Lepisosteus oculatus: one gene and its partners. Each later gene encodes a partner of the first gene's protein in a complex. Links are inferred from orthologs where the notes say so. Each region holds a gene or a part of one and is shown on either strand. Other genes may lie near its edges.

Region 1 (7,487 bases):
CCACAGCAGATGCAGGCGCTGCAGCAGAGTACTCTTCCCACTTCCAGCCTCGCCCGATATCAGCACTGTGTCCGCCTCCTTGTTCACGACCCCGACGGGAGACAAGATGTCCTCCAGGCCCAGAGGTCGCTGTGGCTCCCCAGAACCCTGCGCAACCTCCAGCACCCCTTCCGTGTAGATGTCCTCCAGAGACAGGTTCTCCATCCCACCGTACATGCTGAGGAACCGAGACTGGGCTGAGACCATGCTTCTCAGCTTCCTCTGGTATGTCAGAGGAACCGGATCTAGGAAACAAAGCCAGCGCACTGTATGTTTATCACTGCAACACAAAAATAGCACTGCTGAAACAGGTTTTGAGGAAAGGGAGTGATCACGATAAAGAAGTTCAAGTAGGCAGCTGTGTGGGCTGCAAAGGAACAGGTAAAGGTTAATTCCATGCTGAAAGGAAAAGAAAAATGACGCAATGTTTGGGCTGTGGAGCCTTTTTCAGATGCGACACTGGTCGGACACTTGAAGGAGGCTGCACGGACAAAACGATGAGTCTCTTTTCTTTTCCGTTCAGCCTGGAATAAACCTTTACCTGTTCCGTGATCATGTTAATGCTTATCAGGCTTTTAAATGAAATTGCACCAGTTTTGTCCAATATAACTAGTCCAGTGTTCACAGCACTGAATGGGAGAAAAAAAAAGTTTTAACAGGACTGATTTCCCCCCCAATAGATGAACACTTGGTTTGGTTGAGTCCAAGAACAGGTTTTACCAAAATGTTCCCAATATGATGATTCTGGGTGGATGGTGCGCACGATGGCGCAGTGGGGAGCTTTGCTGGAGCCCTGGGTTAGATTCTGGACCTGCGGTGCTGTCTGTGTGGCGTTTGTAGTTAGTTGTATATAGTTTGTAAACCTGGGTACGCTTGGGGTTTTGCCAGCTGCTCCAGTTTCCTCCCACAGTACAAAAAAACAAGTGCAGCTCAATTGGCTTCTGGGAAAATTGGTCCTAGTGTGAGTGTATACGACTCTGTGTGTGCCCTCTGATGGACTGGCATCCTGTCCAGGAAGTATCCTGCATTGTGTCTGCTGCATGCTGGGATAGGCATTGGCTCCCCCACGGCCCTGATTTGAATGAAGTGGCCAGAAACTGAAGCGATGGATTGCTTGATGAATGGAATTATAATGATTCGATATTAAATGTTGCCCACTCTGTTCCCAGACATACCTGGTTTGTGTGTGTCATCCGTCAGAGGCTGCGTGGGTCCTTTTCCTGTCTGCTGGATGTATGACAACAGGACCTCAGCTGCTGCCTCTCCCTTTGATCCGGCAAGATCCAGCAGTCTCCTGGCCTGCGCAACACAGACGCTTGACACCACCGGCATCTCGCAGGCTCCTGGTGTCCGGACCACAGAACCAAAAGCAGGCTCCAGGTGTCCAGACCAGAGAGACCCAACAGCAGGTTCCTGGTGCACGGACCACAGAACCAACAGCCGCCTCCAGCACATTCTTGACACTTGACGTATGTGTATGTACACTGCATTCTCTCACACTTCAACTGAAATGTGATTTGTGCATTAATCTGACTGCATTCAGTTACTGTTAGGGCACATATCTTCCTTTTAATGCTGCGGTATGAAAGCCATGCTCTGTCTCTCCAGGAAAAGGCAGTTTTGTTCATATTTAACAGATAGTATTACAGAACCACACTAAAAGAACACGTCTTTTCAGAAATAAGGCAACAATGACTGCTTAGTGCTGGATTTATTTATGTGAACTATCAATGTTTATATAAAGCATCATATCCCAGCTCAGGAATCCATCATGAAGACTGCGTACAGGACTGATCCCGTCAGACCAGACTTGTGAGCACAGAATTTCATAAGGCAGCAACATTGAGAAGCTAATAGCGTAATTTGAAAATCCTATGTGCACAGGAAGGTGTTGGATCCAGACAGATCTCTCAAATCCTGCGAAAAGAGACATGCAAAACTTGTCTGATGAAGTGCAAATTCCTCGGCTTCCCTTACCTGTTGCGAGGGTGTGTATATGGGCAACAGGACTTCATCGCAGTCATAAGCGCTGAAGCAACCTGCTTCCCTGAGGGTCCTCAGAGCCCCACCAGTGTTGCCATGGAGCTTCCTCACGAGACTGGGCCGCTCCCTCTGCAGGGTCCGAGTGCCAGTGGAGGGGATCTGCTCGGCTCCTCTGACCGGGCAGCTGCAGTTCCCCAGGGACAAGCCAGCTTTCTGATCCTGCGGGAGCACCTGGCCGATAGCTGTCAGCAGGAACTGGCAAGCCATCTCTCCTTTGCTCCAGAGGAGGTCAAGCAGTTCCCGGGCAGTAACGTGCAAGGCCTGCCCCGGAGCCCGCAGGCTCTCATAATCCTCCCCCAGCAGGACGTCCCAGGCCAGCAGGAGGTCCAACACGCTCTCCAGCCCGTCTGCCGCCCCCCCGCCCAGCACCCTCACCAGCTCAGTCCTCTGCGTCTGCACCAAGAGCTGGGCGCGCATGCCTCATCCTTCAGCACGGCCCTCCAAGACTCCCGCCAGACAGCAGCCCCACTCCAGCTTGCTGGAAGACAGAAGACTTCCACAGCACAGTTACTGACCTCGACTTGAGAAGGCAGTCGGACAGAAGCCCAGCAGGCGAAACTGACCTGATCTGGCTGCGCCAGTGGGCGGCTTGAAGTCGATTACTATTGCTGACCTCCTTGAGCTCTCTCAACAGTTCTGACACTACTGGAGCTCCACACCCACAGCAAAGTGGCGCTTGCAAAACAGCACAGGAAGCATCGCCTTCCTGGCATACAGTACTTACAGTGATGAAGAACTTCCCTTCGTGATGCAAACAGCTCCCTCAAAACGAAAGAGAAAATGCACCAAGCCTTGCCTTTACTACCCGGAGAAAATGCCCGACAGGCCGGGTTCTCCCCGTGTGCTCGGCAGACCTGTGACCCGTGAAAGCGCGCTCTCAACGCGGCAGACAGCGCGACTCACAGTACGTGCGACCTCCTGGCAAAGTCGAGAAATTGACCTACGGCAAAGAAGTGAAATGGGGAAGAGGTGTGCCAAAGGCGATGGGGGGTGTTCTTAAATTCAGTATGAAAATAATGTCTCCTTTTTTACTAAAGACAGCTGCAATCTAGCAATTTCAGATTTCCAAAACACGCCCCTGGACACAAGCCCAATGCTAATTTGGTGCAACCTCTGAATAGGTTGCTGAGCAGGTCACTGTAGAAGTGGCACAAAATCACCTGTAGGTTTTAATTGTGAAGTCTGACGGTCCTGTAGAACGCTTTCTGTTATTTTCGTACGTGCCAGTCAAATTGTTACCGGAGAATCCTTTTTCAGGTTAAATGGCGTCCCAAGACTTTTCGGCTCCTAACTACTGATTTCGTTAAATGTTTTTTTTCATGATAACTGGATTTTATTTTTCATCCGCCTTCCTTCATATCACTTTTGCCGGGGTCTGGCTGTTTTCCCCAGCTTCAGCTGAATGCGAACTACACAATCATTTTGGCCCGGAATAAAACATGCGCTGGTTAATCCTGGAGGTTCTACTTAAGATGTAAGGAATTGCATGTAAGAGAATAAAACCGCACTTTTAATTGTATTCACTAAAGATGTCAAAATGCGGGATTGACGTTTATCCCTCATAGAGTCTATTACACGAGTCTATCAACTCCTAAGAAGCGGTCTTCATTAAATTTTCTCAGCGTTGGAGTTCTGTTCACTGATATTTGTTATTGTGATTATATTACTATATTATTGTTGTAACACGTACAACAGTACAAATAAACACGCACGAAGTGTCAATGTTGACCGTAAAGGAGAAGCGTCTCCAGCAAGCGGCCTCGTGGATCTAGGGTGTTAGACTGATGACTGTGTATACTGTATATATATATATGTACACACACGCGTGTTTTACAGAATCCCTAAAAGATACTCCCTGAGAGGACAAACAGACGGAGAAGCCTTACTGGGGAACCAGGTCCGTGAGGGGCGGCACGCAGGACGGCATACAATCTGGAGACGCTCGTTAACTCGCTGCACCGGTGCACTGAAGGAGTCGGATAGTTTCAGCTTCACCGTCCGTTTCTTTTCGAGAATCAAATCTGGAGCCTATTTTGCGTATAAATAAGGTTTAAATCCAAACGTTTCTTTGACCAACATCGCAGACGTGGACAACCGAAACTAACATAAAAGGCAAATGCTGACAAGATTAAAAAATCCGAGACGAGACAATTTCTTACGTGTCAGCTGCATTCTTGTCCTACAGTAAAAGCTTCCAGTCCCGGTGACCCACACACACACCTGTTGGTTTTGTCCCAGCCGAGTCCTCAGTTATACAGTCAAACCCTCCATTGACTTAGTAGTAAAAAGATTAATTTGAACTGCCTGTTCCCCAGCTCTTAAGCATGTTGGAACTTGAACCGTGTAATTTCGTAAATGAAATAAAATGCAAATATTCAATTGAGGCAACTTCTGAGATCAAGTAAGACTTCGGTTCTCTGATGAAGGTGGGCTGGGATCCGCTGGTCTACAGTGATCAAACGACACCTTATTCCGTCCCGCCCCCACATACAGAAACAGGTGCCCGATCGCGTTTGGATTTCTTTTGTATCTAAACTTTATTATTACCACTTGAAGAGCAACACTGCTTTACTGTGTATTCCAGTGGTCCCAAGCATAATTGTCCTTAGAATATATTAAAACATGGTAATAGGGGAAGTGACTGTGATTTTGGAACACAGAAATCCAGGTGTGAACACTTGGAACATTTGCAATTAAAAACATCAGGAGAGCTGCTACTGGCTCATATTGACACATTTAAAGACATTTTTTCAATTCAATAAGTGGGGTTGGGGGGGCACTTACCATAGGAATCTCCAACCCTGGTCATTCTGAGCCTCAAACCAGATATTATTAAAGATCACCCCTCAATCACCTGTTATGTAAGGATTAGAGACACTTGGTTAAGTAATTGATCAATTAAGCAAGTAATGGGTCAGTGAGAGGACCACTTGTCTCGCTGAATGTCTTAAATACACCAGTTCCTTCAGAAACTGATGATGTAAAGGCTGCCTCTAAAGTCTGGACTGGGGCTTTTCAGGATCAGGGTTGGAGATGTCTGACACAGATCCTGGAGATCCTTACATTTACTTAGTTCAGGTCTCCCGTCTCCTGCATCTAAAGATTTAGAACACTTTGAAGTTATTGATCAAATTGAACAAATAGTTTGTTTAATGACCTTTTCCTTCACAAGATGAGGGGTATTCACATTTTTGTTCTAAAGTATCTTTTACGATACTTAAATTACCTTACATGGCCCACTGGACTGGAAAGTCAGCAGCACCAGAGCTGGCCTCTGGCTTTTTTAGCCTGCTTGTTTTAAGGGGTTGGTCCTGCTCTTGGTATGAGCCACTTTCCTTGGTGGGTCCGAGTGAAGGGAAGCGATTGCAAGATCTGACTCAGAAGCCAGCTGATTCATCTCTGCCCTGCACACACAAGCACCACTCCTTCCCTGCACACACAGACCTCCACCCCCTCTCCACAGTGTGAGCGCAGACCAATCACAGTACACATCGCAGACCAGCACTTCCTTCCTCAAAGCCCGAGACCTGTTTCTCTTTTTCTCCCCCTAGGCAGTGCCATTTGACAGAGTCTAGCGTGACCTTGCAGGGCCAGAACGCCCAGGCTAACAGGATGCTCACCTCCGTCAATATGGCATATTCATCCTTGGTAAGAGAGCGCAACACGTGAGCATGGTGTGGAACTGAAAACATTAACAGGAATACACTGGCACGGCAGTGCGGGTAAGCAGCCCAGTTTTATGTTATATTTCAGCTCCTGATGCAAACAGAACAGGGAGGTTCAGTGCTCACCAGCCAAGTGTATTGTAGGAGGTCAGAGTTCAGAGGTCAGAGGCCAGGGGTAAAACCCAGTTCGTCACAATTTATGCTGGTTTCAGACCCGCGCTTGTCCACAGAGGTGCTATACTACAAAGCCATGTAGAGCATCACTTCCTCATTTTACAGACTCGCCAAACTGTCAGCTGGGATACAAACAGAGAGAGAACCTTTGAGAGAGGAAGCCCAGTGTTTTGGCTAGACTGTGGATCAAGTGAAAGAAAAAGTAAAATAATGTTATTATCCCATAAAGGAGGAATTTTCAGTTAAGTACACCAACAGCATTGTTAATAGCAACGACTTCGAAAGGACGGGTACCCCCTAGAATACATTTGAGTTTATCTAGTTTCTCTGGGGAAACTGATTAATTATTCTTCAAACACAAAGCTTTCATTGTGGTTGTGTAGTTTGGATTCGTATGGGTTTTCATTTCCATTTGACCTTGACTGCAGTGGAGAGCTCAGCTCTGCCTGCAGAACTGCAGCTGTAGCTGGTTGATCTCTAGCCCAGTTGCACTCACTTATCCACAGGCTACAGCCTGGGCTCTTGCTGCGCTTCCCAGAGATATCCGCGCAACACGAATTTCTAAATTCTCTACATCACTCCTTTAAGAAAATGAAAGCACAGATTGATTTTAAAAGACCTCCGGATCTTTCCCCAAGTGCAGTTTGCATTTCTAAGTTGTTGTTTCCAATGGAGACCTCTAAAGACAAAGCAGTGCCTCAGAGAAATATTTCTAAAATTTTGTGCTCTCTCCCCTGTCCCATTCATGACACTGTTCTTCTTCTTTTATTCAGAAATCACTTACAGGATAATCACAGACTAATGGTTAGGAAACAACCCAATTAATCATATCGGAAACGTGCAGATTAATTTAATTGTCGACTGTGCTTCAAAGCTAGGCTTTTATGCATGTCCATATCAAGATTATTTGTAGTATATGAAATGCCCGTATTCTCCATCATAACATTCCAGTTAGAGAACGAGCAAAATTCAGATAAAATATGAAAGCATCACAACTCCTAGATGGCTATAAAATCAGAATGGTAACAAATTAAAAACCCTTCAGCTCATCACACCCGTTTTGGCTGCAAGATCTCATCCATCTGTTTCTCAAGGGTTCACAGGGAATCGGCTTCAATCCAGCATCTTGGTGGCTTGTTCCAGGCACCCATCCCCTGTTTGTAAAAGAGTGCTTTCAATTCTCAGTCCTCAGTGTGCTTCCTCATATCTTCCAGTTGTGCCCGCTGCTCTTTGCAATGAAAGTAAGACACTAGGACTCTGTATACAATATCTATTGACTATACTGTATGTGTCTCATGTCCTTTGCATAGAAAGTAAGACACTAGGACTCTGTTTACAATATCTATTGATTATATGTGTCTCATGTCCTTTGCAATGGAAGTAAGACACTAGGACTCTGTATACAATATCCATTGACTATACTGTATGTGTCTCATGTCCTTTGCAATGGAAGTAAGACACTAGGACTCTGTGTACTCTGTGTCCCATCACAGGGAGACCCAGACTGTTCTGCCAATGGGGGATACCTGTGATGATGGGCAGATGGGTCCCTGCCTGGACGAGGAT
Region 2 (7,702 bases), on another chromosome or scaffold:
GACTGACCCTGGCTGTCCTCAGTGTCCAGCTCATCAGACAGTGACACAGACTAACCCTGGCTGTCCTCAGTGTCCAGCTCATCAGACAGTGATAGAGACAGACAGAGACACAGACTGACCCTGGCTGTCCTCGGTGTCCAGCTCGTTGGCCTGCACTGCCTTGCGGATCTGCATGCGGATGATGTCGATCTTGGTCTTGCTATCCTGCAGCATCTGCTGTGCCGTCTGGAGGAGCTTCCGGTCCTGGAGCAGAGAGAGGGAGAGGGAAGCACGAAGGCCTGAAATGTGTCTGAACTAAAGAAGGGCAGAGCGAGTCTACGGTGGCAGAGTCTACATGAGAGCACCAGGAAGGAAAGAGAGAGAGTGCTGGAGAGCCATACCTTGGTGGAGCCGTTGGAGTACATGTGAATCATGTTTTCTGCCCCCTGCTTGACCTTCAGCTCGATGTTGAGCTGCTTCTCCAGAGCGGCGATGCGGTCTTGGTTGGCAGAGGAGCGGCTCACTGTACCAGGTGACTGAGGGGCATCTGGGAACAGACAAACAGCTTGTCTCTTACACAGTTCCGACAGTGCACCAGGGCTTCACTGTCACTGTGCTCTGTGCTCTGTTACTGTGCTGCCTGCTTTGTCACTGCACTATACCACTTTGTCACTGTGCCTTGCTCTGACACTGCGCTCCGTCACTGCGCTCCCATGGTACGCTCCGTCACTGCGCTCCAATGGCACCGTCGCTCGCAGAGCTCCGACGGCACACTCGGTCACAGAGCTCTGACGGCACACTCGGTCACAGAGCTCTGACACCGAGCTCTGACGGCACACTCGGTCACAGAGCTCTGACACTGAGCTCTGACGGCACACTCGGTCACAGAGCTCTGACACCGAGCTCTGACGGCACACTCGGTCACAGAGCTCTGACACTGAGTTCTGACGGCACACTCGGTCACAGAGCTCTGACACTGAGCTCTGACGGCACACTCGGTCACAGAGCTCTGACACCGAGCTCTGACGGCACACTCGGTCACAGAGCTCTGACACTGAGTTCTGACGGCACACTCGGTCACAGAGCTCTGACACTGAGTTCTGACGGCACACTCGGTCACAGAGCTCTGACACTGAGTTCTGACGGCACACTCGGTCACAGAGCTCTGACACCGAGCTCTGACGGCACACTCGGTCACAGAGCTCTGACACTGAGCTCTGACGGCACACTCGGTCACAGAGCTCTGACGGCACACTCGGTCACAGAGCTCTGACGGCACACTCGGTCACAGAGCTCTGACGGCACACTCGGTCACAGAGCTCTGATACTGAGCTCTGATGGCACACTTGGTTACAGAGCTCTGACACTGAGCTCTGACGGCACACTTGGTCACAGAGCTCTGACACTGAGCTCTGACGGCACACTCGGTCACAGAGCTCTGACACTGAGCTCTGACGGCACATTTGGTCACAGAGCTCTGACACTGAGCTCTGACGGCACATTTGGTCACAGAGCTCTGACACTGAGCTCTGACGGCACACTCGGTCGCGGAGCTCTGATGGCACACTCGCTCACTGAGCTCTGTCTCAGCGCAGTGCTGCTGTTACCTCTGATCTCGTCAGGGCCCTTGACGACGATGTGTGCGTCCAGCTCCTGCAGCTGTGCGTGCAGCTCGTCCAGGCGGCGGTTGGAGCTCTTCAACATGGTGTCCACGCTCTGCAGGTTGCGCTTGTCCGTGGTGGCCCGCCGAAGATTCTCCGCCCCTTCCTTGATCTTCAGCTCCCGACGGATCTCCCGTCGAATTCGCTCCCGCTCCTCGTCCAGGCGCTGCTGCACGCTGGTGTCCGAGAAGTCCGCATTCTGGTCCAGGCCCAGCTGCTCCAGAACCGACAGGCCCGCTGGATCACTCTGTAAGAGAGCAGGAGAGGAGGAGGTATTGTGAGAGACTGAGGGAGAAGGCAAGAGAGCTCAGCTGCTGCGAAACTGACAACACACCTCTGTCCACATGTCACTCAGGGAAAGAGAGAGGGAGGAGAGGGTTGGAGAGAGGGAGAAAGCAGGGAAAGATGCAGGAGACAAAGGGACAGGGAGAAGAGAGGGAGGGAGAAGGAGGAGAAAGGGGTAAAGAGAGGGAGAGAGGAGGGAGAGAGCTAGGAGGAAAGAAGCAGGGAAGCAGCTGACAGCCATGTCCACAGAGAGAGGGATTGTGGGACAGAACAGAAAAGGCTTGTGGGGGAGGAAGGCAGAAACAGAGAAAGAGCAAGACAGGGACAGAGCTCCGTCACTGTCTACAGTTCACTCTTGTGCCCCCTGAACACTCTTCCCAGAGACACAGCGCAAACACAAACTACAGAAGACAGTCTGGTCTAAATCCCTGCAGGGGCCCATCAGCCCTCGGCCTGCAGCGCAGACTGACTCACTTCCTGTTTCCTCCATAGGCCTTCCGAGAGCAGCACCGGGCTGCAAGACTGCTGCAGAATAAAGGATTCTGTTTCTTTATAGAGACGGACGCTGCACTCTCTCTGACCCAGGCTGGATTGGAAAGCCCCTGCCTTCTGCATCCTCCGAGAGCAGACAGGACAGCGTTTCTGAAACTCTAAAAACTTCGCCAGTTATTGTTTCCACACCTCCGCTTTGGGGGACACCCAGAAGGCAGCGTGTCCATCTGCTCTTCCCATGTTTCCTAGAGCAAACCTGACTTCTGTGCTGTGAAACATGTCTTGCGTTCAGCCCATCAGGAGGAGCTCTGTGAGTGTGAGGTCACTGGTCATGTGACTCGCAAGACGCCCATGTCTACAGAAGATCTGGTCTCCTCTCTCTCCACGCAGCACAGCTTTGGTTCTGCGCTGAAAGTTTCCTCCTTCATTTACATAATTTTATTGCAACTGTACAGAACCACACCGCAATAATGCCTTTGTCTATTGTGTAACCTGATGCCTGAAAAACTGAAATCCGTTTTTCCTGATATTTCTCACAACATTCCAGATCCTCCTAAGTGAGCATGAAGAGGCATGCCGCTCCTCTGTCGCTCCATGAACCACAGAGGGCAGACAGAGAGGTGGCAAGTACACTGCAAACTCACAGGCTGCCTCAGAGCACGCTCAGCAGATCTGTCTAAGTGTCAGGACCCTTAGGATAGCCCAGATCTGAGCCAGCGAAGTCCGGGCGGAAACAGAACCCTATGCCAAACAGTACATGTATTGGAAGTAGGGGGTGTGGAAGGGATTTGACTACATCCCCTCGAGCCTGTCACCAAATGCTCTGATAGTAGGAGAGTTCTCTCTGTTAATTCGTTATTAACTAATCCAGCTCACAGTACAGTAAATCCAGTCCAGCCCTGGAGAGTCTCAGACTGCTCGGTCAGTGTGAGTCTGATTATAATCTCAGTTAGTAACTAATCCAGCTCACAGTACAGTCAGTCCAGTCCTGCCCTGGAGAGTCTCAGACTGCTCGGTCAGTGTGAGTCTGATTATAATCTCAGTTAGTAACTAATCCAGCTCACAGTACAGTCAGTCCAGTCCTGCCCTGGAGAGTCTCAGACTGCTCGGTCAGTGTGAGTCTGATTATAATCTCAGTTAGTAACTAATCCAGCTCACAGTACAGTCAGTCCAGTCCGGCCTGTGCTCTGTGATGTCAGGAGGAGACATGCGAGGCTGCTATCTATTCCTGCTCTCAGCAGATTAGCACTGGGTTTAACAAGTACGAGTTCATATAACAACTAATGAGTCACATAGTAATGAGACACATTCAGGATGACAACTCTCTGGAAAACTGAAGCCTGTTGACCTCTCAAATCGATGACAATTGAATCAGAAAGAAAAATAAACAGATTAGGATGGAAGTGATCCCTGCGCGGTGCCGAGCCTGCGCCTGGCCGTCCTGACAGCACCCTCCTCTCCCCTCCCCCATCGCACACACACAGGTCAGCCCCGTCCCTGGAGGCTGAGGCCCGGGGCCACGCGGGGCCACACACACACACACGGGGCCCCGGCGGGGAGATGGGAGTGGCCGACACAGGAGCGGAGCAAGAGAACGAGAGGGACGGCGGCGAGAAACCGAAAACCGCGACGTCAGCCAACGGACACTGGAGCGCCGGCGGCCGCGGGGCCGAGCTGCCCTACCGCGGTCTCGATCTCCGGAGCGTCGGCCGCGCTCTCCTCCGCCCGCGGCCCGGGCCCCGGGCCCTCCTCGCTGGACATCGCTGGAGTCCCACAATCCCACGCTCCCAGGCCTCCCCCCACCCCTCCCTCGCCGGCACGCGGCACTGGCCGCTCCCACCCGGACTGGATGTGCAGGGGAGGGAGGACAAAAAAAAACAGGCGAAACTTGGAACAAAATAAAGAGCACAAGGTCCCGAGCTGCCGCGCGAGAAACAGAGAAATAATCTGCGCCAGCCCCACCCGGGGACTTCCTGTTCTCTAACTGCTGATGGAGGGACGGCAGGCAGAGAGAGAGAGTGACTGAGCTGGTACGTGTTGCAAGCTCAGCCACACAGCTTCCTTCCTGCTGTCACTGGCTCCGGGAGGCGAGAGGTCGAGACGCTACGCTCGTCTCTCGCTTCTGAAAACGCAGTGGTGGGGGTGGGGGGGGAGACGTCAGACCGGCACGCGGGGGGCTCGGCTCAGCCGGGGCGCTCCTGCTGCCCATACGCCACGCGCACGGACGTGTGGCGGCATCTCTCTTGCTCTCTTGCCCCCATGGCTGCCTCCCCCTCCCGGCCACCACTGCAGGGTCCGAGCGGGCCGCCCGCGTCTGCTAGCGCCCCAGCTCTCCGCCCCCTTCCTCAATCCGGACGCACGCAGACCGGAGGGGAAACTGGGAACCGAGAAGAGGGAACTGGCCGCTGAAACACGACGCGCTTCAGAGCAGGAACGAGAAGCCGGAGCAGAGACGCGGGGAACAGGCCGCAAGATCAATGGGCTCCAATGCATCACCGCTGGCGAACGGGCATGGGCCGAGAGACGTCGCCAAGCTCGAGCACCGCTTGTGCTTAAGCTGTTTGTCAGCTCAGCCAGTCCCTGTGTCAACCCCTGCCTGTGTTTGTCAGCAGGCCCCTGTGTCAGTGAGTCAGTCAGTCACAGTCGGCAGGCCCCTGTGTCAGTCAGTCAGTCACAGTCGGCAGGCCCCTGTGTCAGTCAGTCAGTCACAGTCGGCAGGCCCCTGTGTCAGTCAGTCAGTCACAGTCGGCAGGCCCCTGTGTCAGTCAGTCAGTCACAGTCGGCAGGCCCCTGTGTCAGTCAGTCAGTCAGTCAGTCAGTCACAGTCGGCAGGCCCCTGTGTCAGTCAGTCAGTCAGTCAGTGAGTCAGTCAGTGAGTCAGTCAGTGAGTCAGTCAGTCACAGTCGGCAGGCCTCTGTGTCAGTCAGTCAGTCAGTCAGTCAGTCACAGTCGGCAGGCCCCTGTGTCAGTGAGTCAGTCAGTCACAGTCGGCAGGCCCCTGTGTCAGTGAGTCAGTCAGTCACAGTCGGCAGGCCCCTGTGTCTGTCAGTCAGTCAGTCACAGTTGGCAGGCCCCTGTGTCAGTGAGTCAGTCAGTCACAGTCGGCAGGCCCCTGTGTCAGTCAGTCAGTCAGTCTGCTGTATCAGCCTGTCAGTTGCAGTTAATATCGTTGCCAGTCATCAGTGTCTGTCGGCCAGCATTTCAACAGCGGACCACATGCTGATTGCTACACTGCAGAAGAGAAAGTTCGGAGAGCGAGGAGATCTATTCTGAGAGCTGCAGGAGCTTGTCTGCTCCTGCGCTGCTCTGCGTGCCGCAGCAAGAGAGGAAGGGCAGGCAGAGGGGCTTCACCAATGAGGCGATCAGAAGAGAAGGGACGTCCGTCCTCGAACAGCAGGAGAGGAACTCTGCCCACAGAGCGCTGCCGAGGCAGGTCAGCGGGCACCGCTGCCCTCACCCATCCCCCAAGCGACGCCCCCCCAAGGCCAGACCCGGGTCCGGTCCCCCCGTCTGCAGAGGACCCCGAGTCGTCTGCGAGCCTCTGCGGAAGTGGAACCGCCAGCGCACAGCGGAGCACTTCCTGCTGCCGCGCGCCGGGAGCAGCAGAGAGAGCCGGGCCGGAGGAAACGAGAGCACCTGGCCCGCCGACCCCACTCCCCCCCCGGCCGGTCGGCCCGTCGGCGTGGCAGGGTACCTACACTCACAGTGATCCCCATCCATGCCTGCTGTGTCCCTACGTGGGCACGCGTCCGCTCGGGGCTCCACGCTCGCTCCCTCCCTCTCTCTCTCAGGCCACAGAGCACGCCACAGCCGGGGGACTGATCGCTCATCGCCGCTCTTAAAGAGACAGCAGCACCCTCAGCCCCGCTGGACTGGCTCAGACGAGGCTGGAGCCCTCTCTCACACACACACACCTCTGCTCCTGGTGGACTGCCTCAGACGAGGCTGGAGCCCTCCCTCTCTCTCTCACACACACACACCAGGCCTGGTCAGCACTGGGATCTGCTGTGAGTGGTGGACCAGTATGGAGTCAGTAATTACAGCCTGGCCACAAAAACTGGACACAGACAGACCTGATTGTCCATAGAGGACAGGCTCAGTGACCACAGCCTGGCCGTAGTAACTGGACACAGGCAGACATGGCTGTCCATAGAGGACAGGCTCAGTGACCACAGCCTGGCCATAGAAACTGGACACAGGCAGACCTGGCTGTCCAGAGAGGACAGGCTCAGTGACCACAGCCTGGCCACAGAAACTGGACACAGGCAAACCTGGCTGTCCAGAGAGGACAGGCTCAGTGACCACAGCCTGGCCATAGTAACTGGACACAGGCAGACCTGGCTGTCCGGAGAGGACAGGCTCAGTGACCACAGCCAGGCCATAGTAACTGGACACAGGCAGACCTGATTGTCCAGAGAGGACAGGCTCAGTGACCACAGCCTGGCCACAGAAACTGGACACAGGCAAACCTGGCTGTCCAGAGAGGACAGGCTCAGTGACCACAGCCTGGCCATAGTAACTGGACACAGGCAGACCTGATTGTCCAGAGAGGACAGACTCAGTGACCACAGCCAGGCCACAGAAACTGGACACAGGCAGACCAGGCTGTCCAGAGAGGACAGGCTCAGTGACCACAGCCTGGCCATAGAAACTGGACACAGGCAGACCTGGCTGTCCAGAGAGGACAGGCTCAGTGACCACAGCCTGCCCACAGAAACTGGACACAGACAAACCTGGATGTCCAGAGAGGACAGGCTCAGTGACCACAGCCTAGCCATAGTAACTGGACACAGGCCGACCTGATTGTCCAGAGAGGACAGGCTCAGTGACCACAGCCTGGCCACAGAAACTGGACACAGGCAGACCTGGCTGGGCTGTCCAGAGAGGACAGGCTCAATGATACTAGGCTGGCCACAGAAACTGGACACAGGCAGACCTGGCTGTCCAGAGAGGACAGGCTCAGTGACCACAGCCTGGCCGTAGTAACTGGACACAGGCAGACATGGCTGTCCAGAGAGGACAGGCTCAGTGACCACAGCCTGGCCATAGTAACTGGACACAGGCAGACCTGATTGTCCAGAGAGGACAGGCTCAGTGACCACAGCCTGGCCACAGAAACTGGACACAGGCAGACCTGGCTGTCCAGAGAGGACAGGCTCAGTGACCACAGCCTGGCCACAGAAACTGGACACAGGCAAACCTGGCTGTCCAGAGAGGACAGGCTCAGTGACCACAGCCTGGCCATAGTAACTGGACACAGGCAGACCTGGCTGTCCGGAGAGGAC
Region 3 (7,930 bases), on another chromosome or scaffold:
CAATAATATAATGTGCCATTGAAAATGCCATACAACAGAAAAGCAATTGATATGAAGTATCTCTTCAGGCCCAACATCTAAACTGCCACCAGGCAGCTGTTGTAAGTCAATACTAATTTTCTACAAGAGCTGATAATGATGTTTGCAGGTTCAGACTTACTCCTTAAGGAGACTGGAACACTTATTGATCAATGGACTCCACAATGAGTTTATTATGCAATCATGCATCAACTTAATATCAACTGCTATCATCCAGGCTTGTGAATTCTGCTATACCCACAGAGTATGCCTAAACTATGTTGGAGCCTTAAGTCACTAAAATAAGAGCTTTTGTAGCCTCCTTCAAGTAACTTAGTTAATTATTTGAATTTGCTTTTCAGTGCAAAGGAAAAATATTTAATACCGAGACTGAATGAAAGTAACCAAAAAGCCAACACAGCTTTAAGACTGACAAAGTCAACCCTCTAGACTTCTTCAGCATAAACAGTGAAACACGAACCAGGGCACATAAGTCGAAACTTCATGGAAGTGATTTAAAACCCAGAACACTTTCTTTATCCAAAGAGTTGGGGGGGTGTGGAACAAGCTGACCAGCCATGTATTTGAAGCAGATACCACGGCTTGCTTCATGAAACACCTGACGATTTGAAATGCACTTTCCCCACTCCTGGTCATCTGGTTTGTGTTTTACTGCTCATTCTGCAGAAATCCAATTGGCTGACTTTGTTGAGGCCTTTGAGGATTTTGGATACTTGGATCGGGGTACTGATACATGAATCCAATCCAGTTGACACATTAATCGTAATCATGGTTCAAATTCCACTGGACGGGTAAAGTTGCAAAATTGGGGAGAGCTGTGTGGAACATGTTTCCTTGCAGTTCGGGCAGAGGAAAGTCATGTCATATAGGAATAAACCTGCAGGATTGCTTGACTTGTCTCGTCCCTTTAAAAAAAATGGCACCGCATGCCTCCTACACACCAGCACCTCTCTCAGTCACAGCATATAAACGCGCAGCAAGAGTGAGTCAGCCACGCCATTCAGAAAACACTAGATGAATCACAACCTGAGCACGGTACAGACGACAAATGGGGAATTAAGGAGTTGGAAGACAACACCGAGAGGTGCTGACAACTACGACAAAAAGGCGACTAAATACCATTTACCGACGTTAAAGCTATGCGTGCAGAATTCTGCAAGTTATACTGTCCCATTCAAGAGGTAAGAATGAAAGCCCAAGTCTTAAAATACACCCGTTTCAATCTTTCACCCAAAATAAACATGTGCTTGGTGTAGATTCCCGTACTTTTACTCATTGCAGGTTGTTTTGGCGCTAGCACAGCGCACACGGAGGAAAAGCCCCTTTTTTTTGCCCCAATGAAAACAAACACGCCTTGGCAACCTGTTTTAACGCACGTTCGCGTGGGCTTTCCCAGATTTGCAAAGTGGCATGGATACTTTGTAGGAATTATCTTTCCCTGTGCCCTTGGGTTTGAGGTACGGAGGAAGTCTGCTCTAAGGCGACTCGGATACCAGGCTCGGGTTTTTTTTTCTCCGTGCTGTGCTCGCCGTTTTTCACTGCCTTTGATAATGAGTCGCAATGCCTTTAATCACGTCTCTAACGTTTTGAACAGAGGAAATCAGACGGAACCCCCCACGCTGCCCAGCAAAACTGTGATTGCTGTAGTCCTTGCAGAATATTGCTGCTATCTAGAAAAACAAAATCGTTGGTCTCGTATTTTTTTTTTGAGATGCACGGAGTTCGCACGGTCACGTGAACAGTTCGTCACCCTCTCCCGGCGATAACCTACTTTTCTAACTTCCTAAACTAATGCCCAGCTGCTCCTGGCCAAGCCCTCGACCACCTCCCGAACCGACCCGCCATTCCCCCCCGACACCCACACAGCTGCGCACGCTGTTCCGGGTCTTGCACCACCACCCAAGAGGTCGCAGCTCAAACTGCACGCCGGTGTCCTCAATATCGTTAGGAACAAGCCCGGTCCCTCTTCAGCTGGCTCGGGCCAAATGCACCAGAAAACTTTGCTGCTGCTTTTTTTCTTTCAATCGTTGCTTGGGCAACAACAAACTGGGACCCGGTTTAAATCGTGCATTCTTGGCTAATATATATATAATGCTTTTCCGTGCCGCGCCACTGAGCCAGCGAGCGGCTTAAGTTTCCGCATAAGCAGATAAAACAGGAATTATTTGTTCTGCTTGTATCCCAGCGGCGTAGTTTCTGGAAATAAAAGGCTGAAATTAGACGGGGAATTCGTGACGGGCGATACTTAGGGAATTAGAGAGAGGGGGCAAACACGACCCTAGGTTGAAGCCCACAAGCAATTAAACTACATGTGCGGGCTGCAATAATCTGTTTTATTGAATGAAACAGATACACCTGGACCTTTACTGCTTTTTTTTTGTTCTGTCCAGTAATTAGCAAAACAGCGCCATAAGCAATTTAAGGCGATCTTCACTTACCGGTGTTTCTGGACATTGACATGTTGTGGGTTCCCAATTCCGAGGTGCAAGCCTTTGATTTTGTTGTGCACTGTACAGAAACGCCTGTTGAAGAGCTGGGGGGGGTGGACAATACACGCACAGAAACAGTATCCGTTTTCCGAGACTCAATGCAACGACAATCCTGCCGGGCTTGCAAGGAGCACGCAGGCTCGATCTGCAGGGAAATCGCCGAACCGAACCGCACAAGGAGGGACGGATCTCTCAACTTTTGTCCGCTGTGCGCTGTTGCAGAAATCGTCGTTGCTCAATCAAAGAAACAATGCCAGAATTATGTTACCGGTACAGTGCCAGAGCACACCGTACACCAGCGGCGGTTTCTACACCATAGGCCGTAGCAGCGTAGAGGCATTCATGAGAAGCTCCCCCAAATTATTAATGAAAAAGTGAAAGCAACAATACAAATAATTCATTAATAACCCCCCCCAAAAGCCACAAGGTACAGGACTCCGTTCGTTCTCTCGGTGACTGGAGGTTTTAATCAATGACGTCATCCAAGACCGTACTAGCGCGCTCGACCAATCGGAAGGCGGCAGGCGGCGCTGCGGGCCAATGGGAGGCGAGCGGGCCGGCCCTCGTTCTATCAAGTTTGAGTCCCGAGAAAGAGAATTGCTGCTCTGAAAGGGTGTAGCATCCTCCTGCTGGCGAGCTGGTGCTCTGAGATTTAGGAAGTGGCAAGTTCGTGGGGTGTTTTCCAAAAACTGCCACGCCGGATGGAAGTATGTGTACTTGCGTGACGTTCGTTTCCACCGACAGCGTTACGGGTACTTGCGGAATTACGCGCGGTGTGAAGCAAAAAAAAATAACGCACCTTGTTTTTTTGGTCGTGTGCTATCAAAAAGAAAAACAGTTTCCAGTCTCGCGTAGCAGCTATTCTTTGACGGCATGACGTTAGAGCTGGTACAATGCATGTTTCACTACACAACTGCGCAGACTGTGAGGCGGATTCTGTCATTATGTTGCAGCGTCGTACAGCATTTACACAAAAAACACTTTCCAAACTTCTTTCTACACGTGCATTAATAAGTGACGTAAGTTGCAGGGTCACAGAATACTTGCTTATTATTGTTGTTCAAGAGAAGCACCTGACAATGAGTCACTCAGATCTGTTTCGTGATTGCAATGGATTAGGTACTACAACACCTGTTTTTTGGCTGTTTATTTTTTAAGATCCTGTTCAATGTGAATAAAAGATTTCTAAACGAAAAGCGTGGCTTCCTCTCCCTTTAACTAAGCCGCATAAATAAAAGTCAAAGTTGTTGGAATAGCAGTAATGGAGGCTTTGAGCAAGTTATTGATGCTCCTAGAGTGTAACTCCTGATCAAGTCTTCAGTGTCAAAGATTTGTGCAGCGATGTACAGTATGTGTCGCCATCGTTATGATTACTTTGGTGCGACAAGCCTGTTCTTACACCGTTTTACATTCAGGTCTCAAACACGTGCTTTAAATCTCTACACCTAATATTTCTTTTAATATTAAAAAATAATGCTGGCCAGGAATAGACTCAGGCCCCCCTGTGACCCATATCAGTTAAAGAGGTTAGAAAAGGAATGGATGGATTAAAAACTAGATGTGGTTTTCTAAATCATGAGAGTTTTGTTTTAAAAAAAGGTTGTCAAAGCAGTCCCTTCTTGCATCCGGTAAAAGAAGCTAATTATGCTTTGAAAACATTTCAAAATGCCTATTTTAAGGCATGAATCAATCGCCTCTCCAGCATCATGAGATGCTAAATGAATAAGTACTTGCAATTCTTTCCACGAAGAAAGAGACTTCATTGGACAGCAGTCCTAGATTGAACAAGGGTCAGGCTTCACTTTCTGGACATGCAGCTTGAATGACTAAAAGTAAACAGTGCTGTAGAAGTGATCACATGGCTCTCTTCAATTTGAGCCTACAACCCTCTAAACCTTGAGTGCATGTCTGAACTTGTTGTCTGGGTTTGTTACAGGGTATTGAGCCCTCTAGTGGAGAACACCATGGAATAAAAAACATGGTATTTCATCTGCAGCTGGAGAGAAAAGTTGTTCTAATCTTTTCTTCTACATTTCTAAATGCCCTGTGCTAATCCTAAACAATAATCTAATTTTCACAGGAAGTTTAAATATTATTTAGGGCATCATACTGTTTTGGAACAAGTACTAGGTTTATTCCATGCTGGAAAAAAAGAAGAAAGAGAACACGTTTCGGCCGTGGACCCTTCTTCGGGATCAAACTGTTTTGTTCACTTATAGGATTATTGTTTAATACATGTAATCTACTGTTCACATAGAGACAATGTTTTTCGTTTTTTATCAACCATTTTTTCAAGAATGTTTCTATCCAGGTCCCACTTTCTCCTCTACCGCTCCACTACGGCAGTGCACACTTGATCAAGAAAGCTGGGAATCGTCTCGTCTTTTAAACCAACCAAGTCAGCTATTCATTTGCAATACAGACACAACACACGGACTCAGCTAGCAGGATGTTTCCAACCTATCAGATACAAGGAAAGTAACCTGCTGCAAATTCACGGAATGGCAACCGACACCAGTGCCAAAATCTTTGTACTGCCAAAACATCTGGCATCATGTATTCACCTTCTACATGCCAAATAATAATAATAATAATAATAATAATAATAATAATACAAGTGGGGAGCTGTGTCAGCATGCGTAGACTGCAAAGGAACAAGTGAAAGGTTTATTACATGCTGAAAAGAGAAGAGAGAAAACAACGTTTCGGCTGTGAAATCTTCTTCAGGTGCGAGAAAGACAGGGCAGACAGCAAAGATGAAATAGCACAGAAGAACAAAAGCTGAGAGAGGGGAGGACACAGGAGGAGCAGAGAGGCAACTCAGGAAGTGTGAAGGGGAGAGAGGTGAAGAAAGGTGTGAAGTCAGAACCTATTATTATTATAGAGAAAGCTTTGAATTTTCCTTGATCCTAAAGAAAGCTTATCCTAATGTGTTAATTATAATTCAGCATCTTTCAAAAGGGCCGCGATACTGCAGCTTGAAGTGGTCAGAAAGGCCCTTTGACTCGACACACCTCACGCAGTGTCAGCCTGAGAAATGACATTCGGCTTGCCTGTGACAGAGTGCGGTGCTCCTGTCACTCTCCGTCTGCGAGACTGCTCATCTTCCTTTGAAACTGATTCGTTTTGCCACGAGAGACTTCACAGGGTGTCCGTGGAGGGAGCAGAAGATTGAGGTCAAACCACAGGTAGACTCGGTAATCCTTCACCTTCACTGCGAGCGATGCCGTTGGATCATTCGGTATTATCTGCAAAGCCCAGAGAGAGAGAGGAGGTCAGTGAAGGGAACTCATTTAAGCTCAATTAGCATTCTTCGCATTTTTTCAAATTCTTCCAAAGTCTTTGCCTTCTTATGCAAAGGAACAATCAGGAGGTGCTGCAGCGACTCATAGTTTCTTATTAATTGATCAACAACATAATCAGTCACATAGGTCTTAACGTTCTAGACCATTGTGATTTCTTAGTGGTAAGATCACTATAAAACTATAATTTCTCGTTTCTTATAAAAGAATAGCATCCTGCTAAACACAAATCTTAAAAGTATCACGTGCATGCAACTATCTGAGCTTAGACATCGTAGTATTTGTTGAATGAGAACTTCAATGATTTGTGCAAAAGCCGTGGGCCACGATATGGAGGTTTGTAGCTAACATATAGAAACTGGGGATCGGAAGTTCACAGCTGGAGAGTTTCAATTCTTCCCAGAGCCGGACAGCAAATGCTAACAGCTTCCCTCAGGCTGGCTGCTTGTGCACATATGGTAAAAAAAAAAAAGTGTTACCGCAGCTGCCAGCTAATTTTGTGAATGGCATTTCGCAATATGGCACACTCACTTTTTTAACAGGGGGCCCCCAGGAAAAACTGAAACTTTGTATCCATAGGTAAAAGACTAGGTAGGCTAATGACCAATTTATGATTTTTGTGCAGGAATCAATCTTTGGAGTAAGCAACGCGTTCTCAACACCAACAGTCTTCCTATGGGCATGTATGTGCCCTGAGTACTTTAGCTGTTTTCCTAGCACCGAAGTGACATTTCATCCTTAATTGGCCGCTCTCTAAAGATTTGACAATGGATGCTTGTGTCTTTGTGTTCGCTGATGTCTTCCTGAGTGTAAGAGTAGGCAACACCTCTCGGTTCCAGACAGGCGTCCCTCTGGTTTTTCCATGCTGATTGTGTCCGTACGCGCATGGGAGTCATGTATTTCAGTAACAGTCGCTTCAGGGTTTAAGGCCTAGGAACTTCTGCCATGGATCTGCCTTTTTTTTTTACTTTTCCTGGGCTACTGAGAGCTTGAGCACATCGTCTCAGGGTGTGTGTGTGTGTGACTGGACAGTGGTCTACACGCAGTTATACAAAAATTAATTGCAGCTCTCAAGTCATGCAAAGCTGCAGGCGACACGCTTGCCTGCACATCAGCGGCTCCGGTCATGCCAAGAGCCGTGCCTACAGCTGTCGCGCTGTGTTCACACTATAATCTCCAGGGCTTGCACTGGAGCCGGAGGGCACGACATTTGGGGCCCTTGGCCTTCCTTGCGCCGGCAGAGCCTGGGAGAGCTTTGCTCCTTTAACGCAGCAGCAGCGCAGCGGATCAAAACAGTTGCTGCGGGTGCTGATTGGCCACAGCGCCCCACGTGTCCCTCCAGCTGATTTCCTGGGGCTGGAGAATGTGTTCTCTTCACTTCTCTGTCAGTTTACGGGATCATGAATCCTCTCCGTCGTAGTTCGCCCTACTTCGTAGCCCACTGATTACCTATTTGCATGATCTCGGGAGAAAATACTAACAGAAATAATAGAGATGGCCCAGGCAGCGCAGATTAACGTCCTCGAACAACTCAACTGCCCGATCAAAGTGGAGCACGACAGAAAGAGGAGGCAATTCACTGTTAGATTAAACGGTAAAGTCCGGAGATCGCGATTGCAAATGCACTTTACTGCAGTTCCCCCCCCCTCCCTTTGTTTCCAAACGAGCACTTTGAAGAATCGTGTTGTTGTTGCTTGCTTTGACGAGTCATCCTCGCCGTACTCGTTTCGCATCGTCGTTTTAACAACGGTAATCGTGCGGGAGTAAAAGCTGAAGTTTAAAAACTAGCGACGTCTGCTCTAACCCCCATAACCCCCTCCCCAAACACAACACAAAATGTGTTTTTAGATATCTCCATTTTCAGACCGGGGAGGTTGTGATCGCGGTTGGTTCCGGTAATTCACGGAGCGACGAAAAGACTGCAAACTCCCGGCTTGTTGCTTAAAACCCCTCGCTGCAGCTGAGGTATAGTTTTCTTCTAGACCTTGTTTTGTTCAGTTTCCTGTCACCGAAAGCGATGCCTTCCTCCCCTGTTCTTTTACATTTCAGCCTTCACGTCGCCCTAAAATACGAAGCGGGGTGGGGGGAACGATGTCAGAT

The links.
Region 2: nod2 (region 1) and pkn1a share a complex: the UniProt entries of both Homo sapiens proteins name them as parts of the signaling complex. The link is inferred for Lepisosteus oculatus from reciprocal best matches to the Homo sapiens genes NOD2 and PKN1.
Region 3: nod2 (region 1) and dual specificity mitogen-activated protein kinase kinase 3 share a complex: the UniProt entries of both Homo sapiens proteins name them as parts of the signaling complex. The link is inferred for Lepisosteus oculatus from reciprocal best matches to the Homo sapiens genes NOD2 and MAP2K3.

Annotation. Positions count from the first base shown.
Region 1 is NC_090715.1:2,169,748-2,177,234, reverse strand, and holds the start of nod2 (nucleotide-binding oligomerization domain-containing protein 2), read right to left. Parts: upstream 3,005-7,487; 5' UTR 2,500-3,004; coding exon 2,017-2,499; intron 1,339-2,016; coding exon 1,215-1,338; intron 285-1,214; coding exon 1-284. Other genes in the region: snx20 (sorting nexin-20), read left to right, coding at 7,437-7,487. UniProt on the Homo sapiens protein: Pattern recognition receptor (PRR) that detects bacterial peptidoglycan fragments and other danger signals and plays an important role in gastrointestinal immunity.
Region 2 is NC_090706.1:13,882,360-13,890,061, forward strand, and holds the start of pkn1a (serine/threonine-protein kinase N1), read right to left. Parts: upstream 3,006-7,702; 5' UTR 2,541-3,005; coding exon 2,400-2,540; intron 1,888-2,399; coding exon 1,587-1,887; intron 527-1,586; coding exon 381-526; intron 244-380; coding exon 120-243; intron 1-119. UniProt on the Homo sapiens protein: PKC-related serine/threonine-protein kinase involved in various processes such as regulation of the intermediate filaments of the actin cytoskeleton, cell migration, tumor cell invasion and transcription regulation.
Region 3 is NC_090714.1:4,276,549-4,284,478, reverse strand, and holds the start of dual specificity mitogen-activated protein kinase kinase 3, read right to left. Parts: upstream 3,006-7,930; 5' UTR 2,500-3,005; coding exon 2,478-2,499; intron 1-2,477. Other genes in the region: protein NATD1, read left to right, coding at 7,325-7,424. UniProt on the Homo sapiens protein: Dual specificity kinase. Is activated by cytokines and environmental stress in vivo. Catalyzes the concomitant phosphorylation of a threonine and a tyrosine residue in the MAP kinase p38.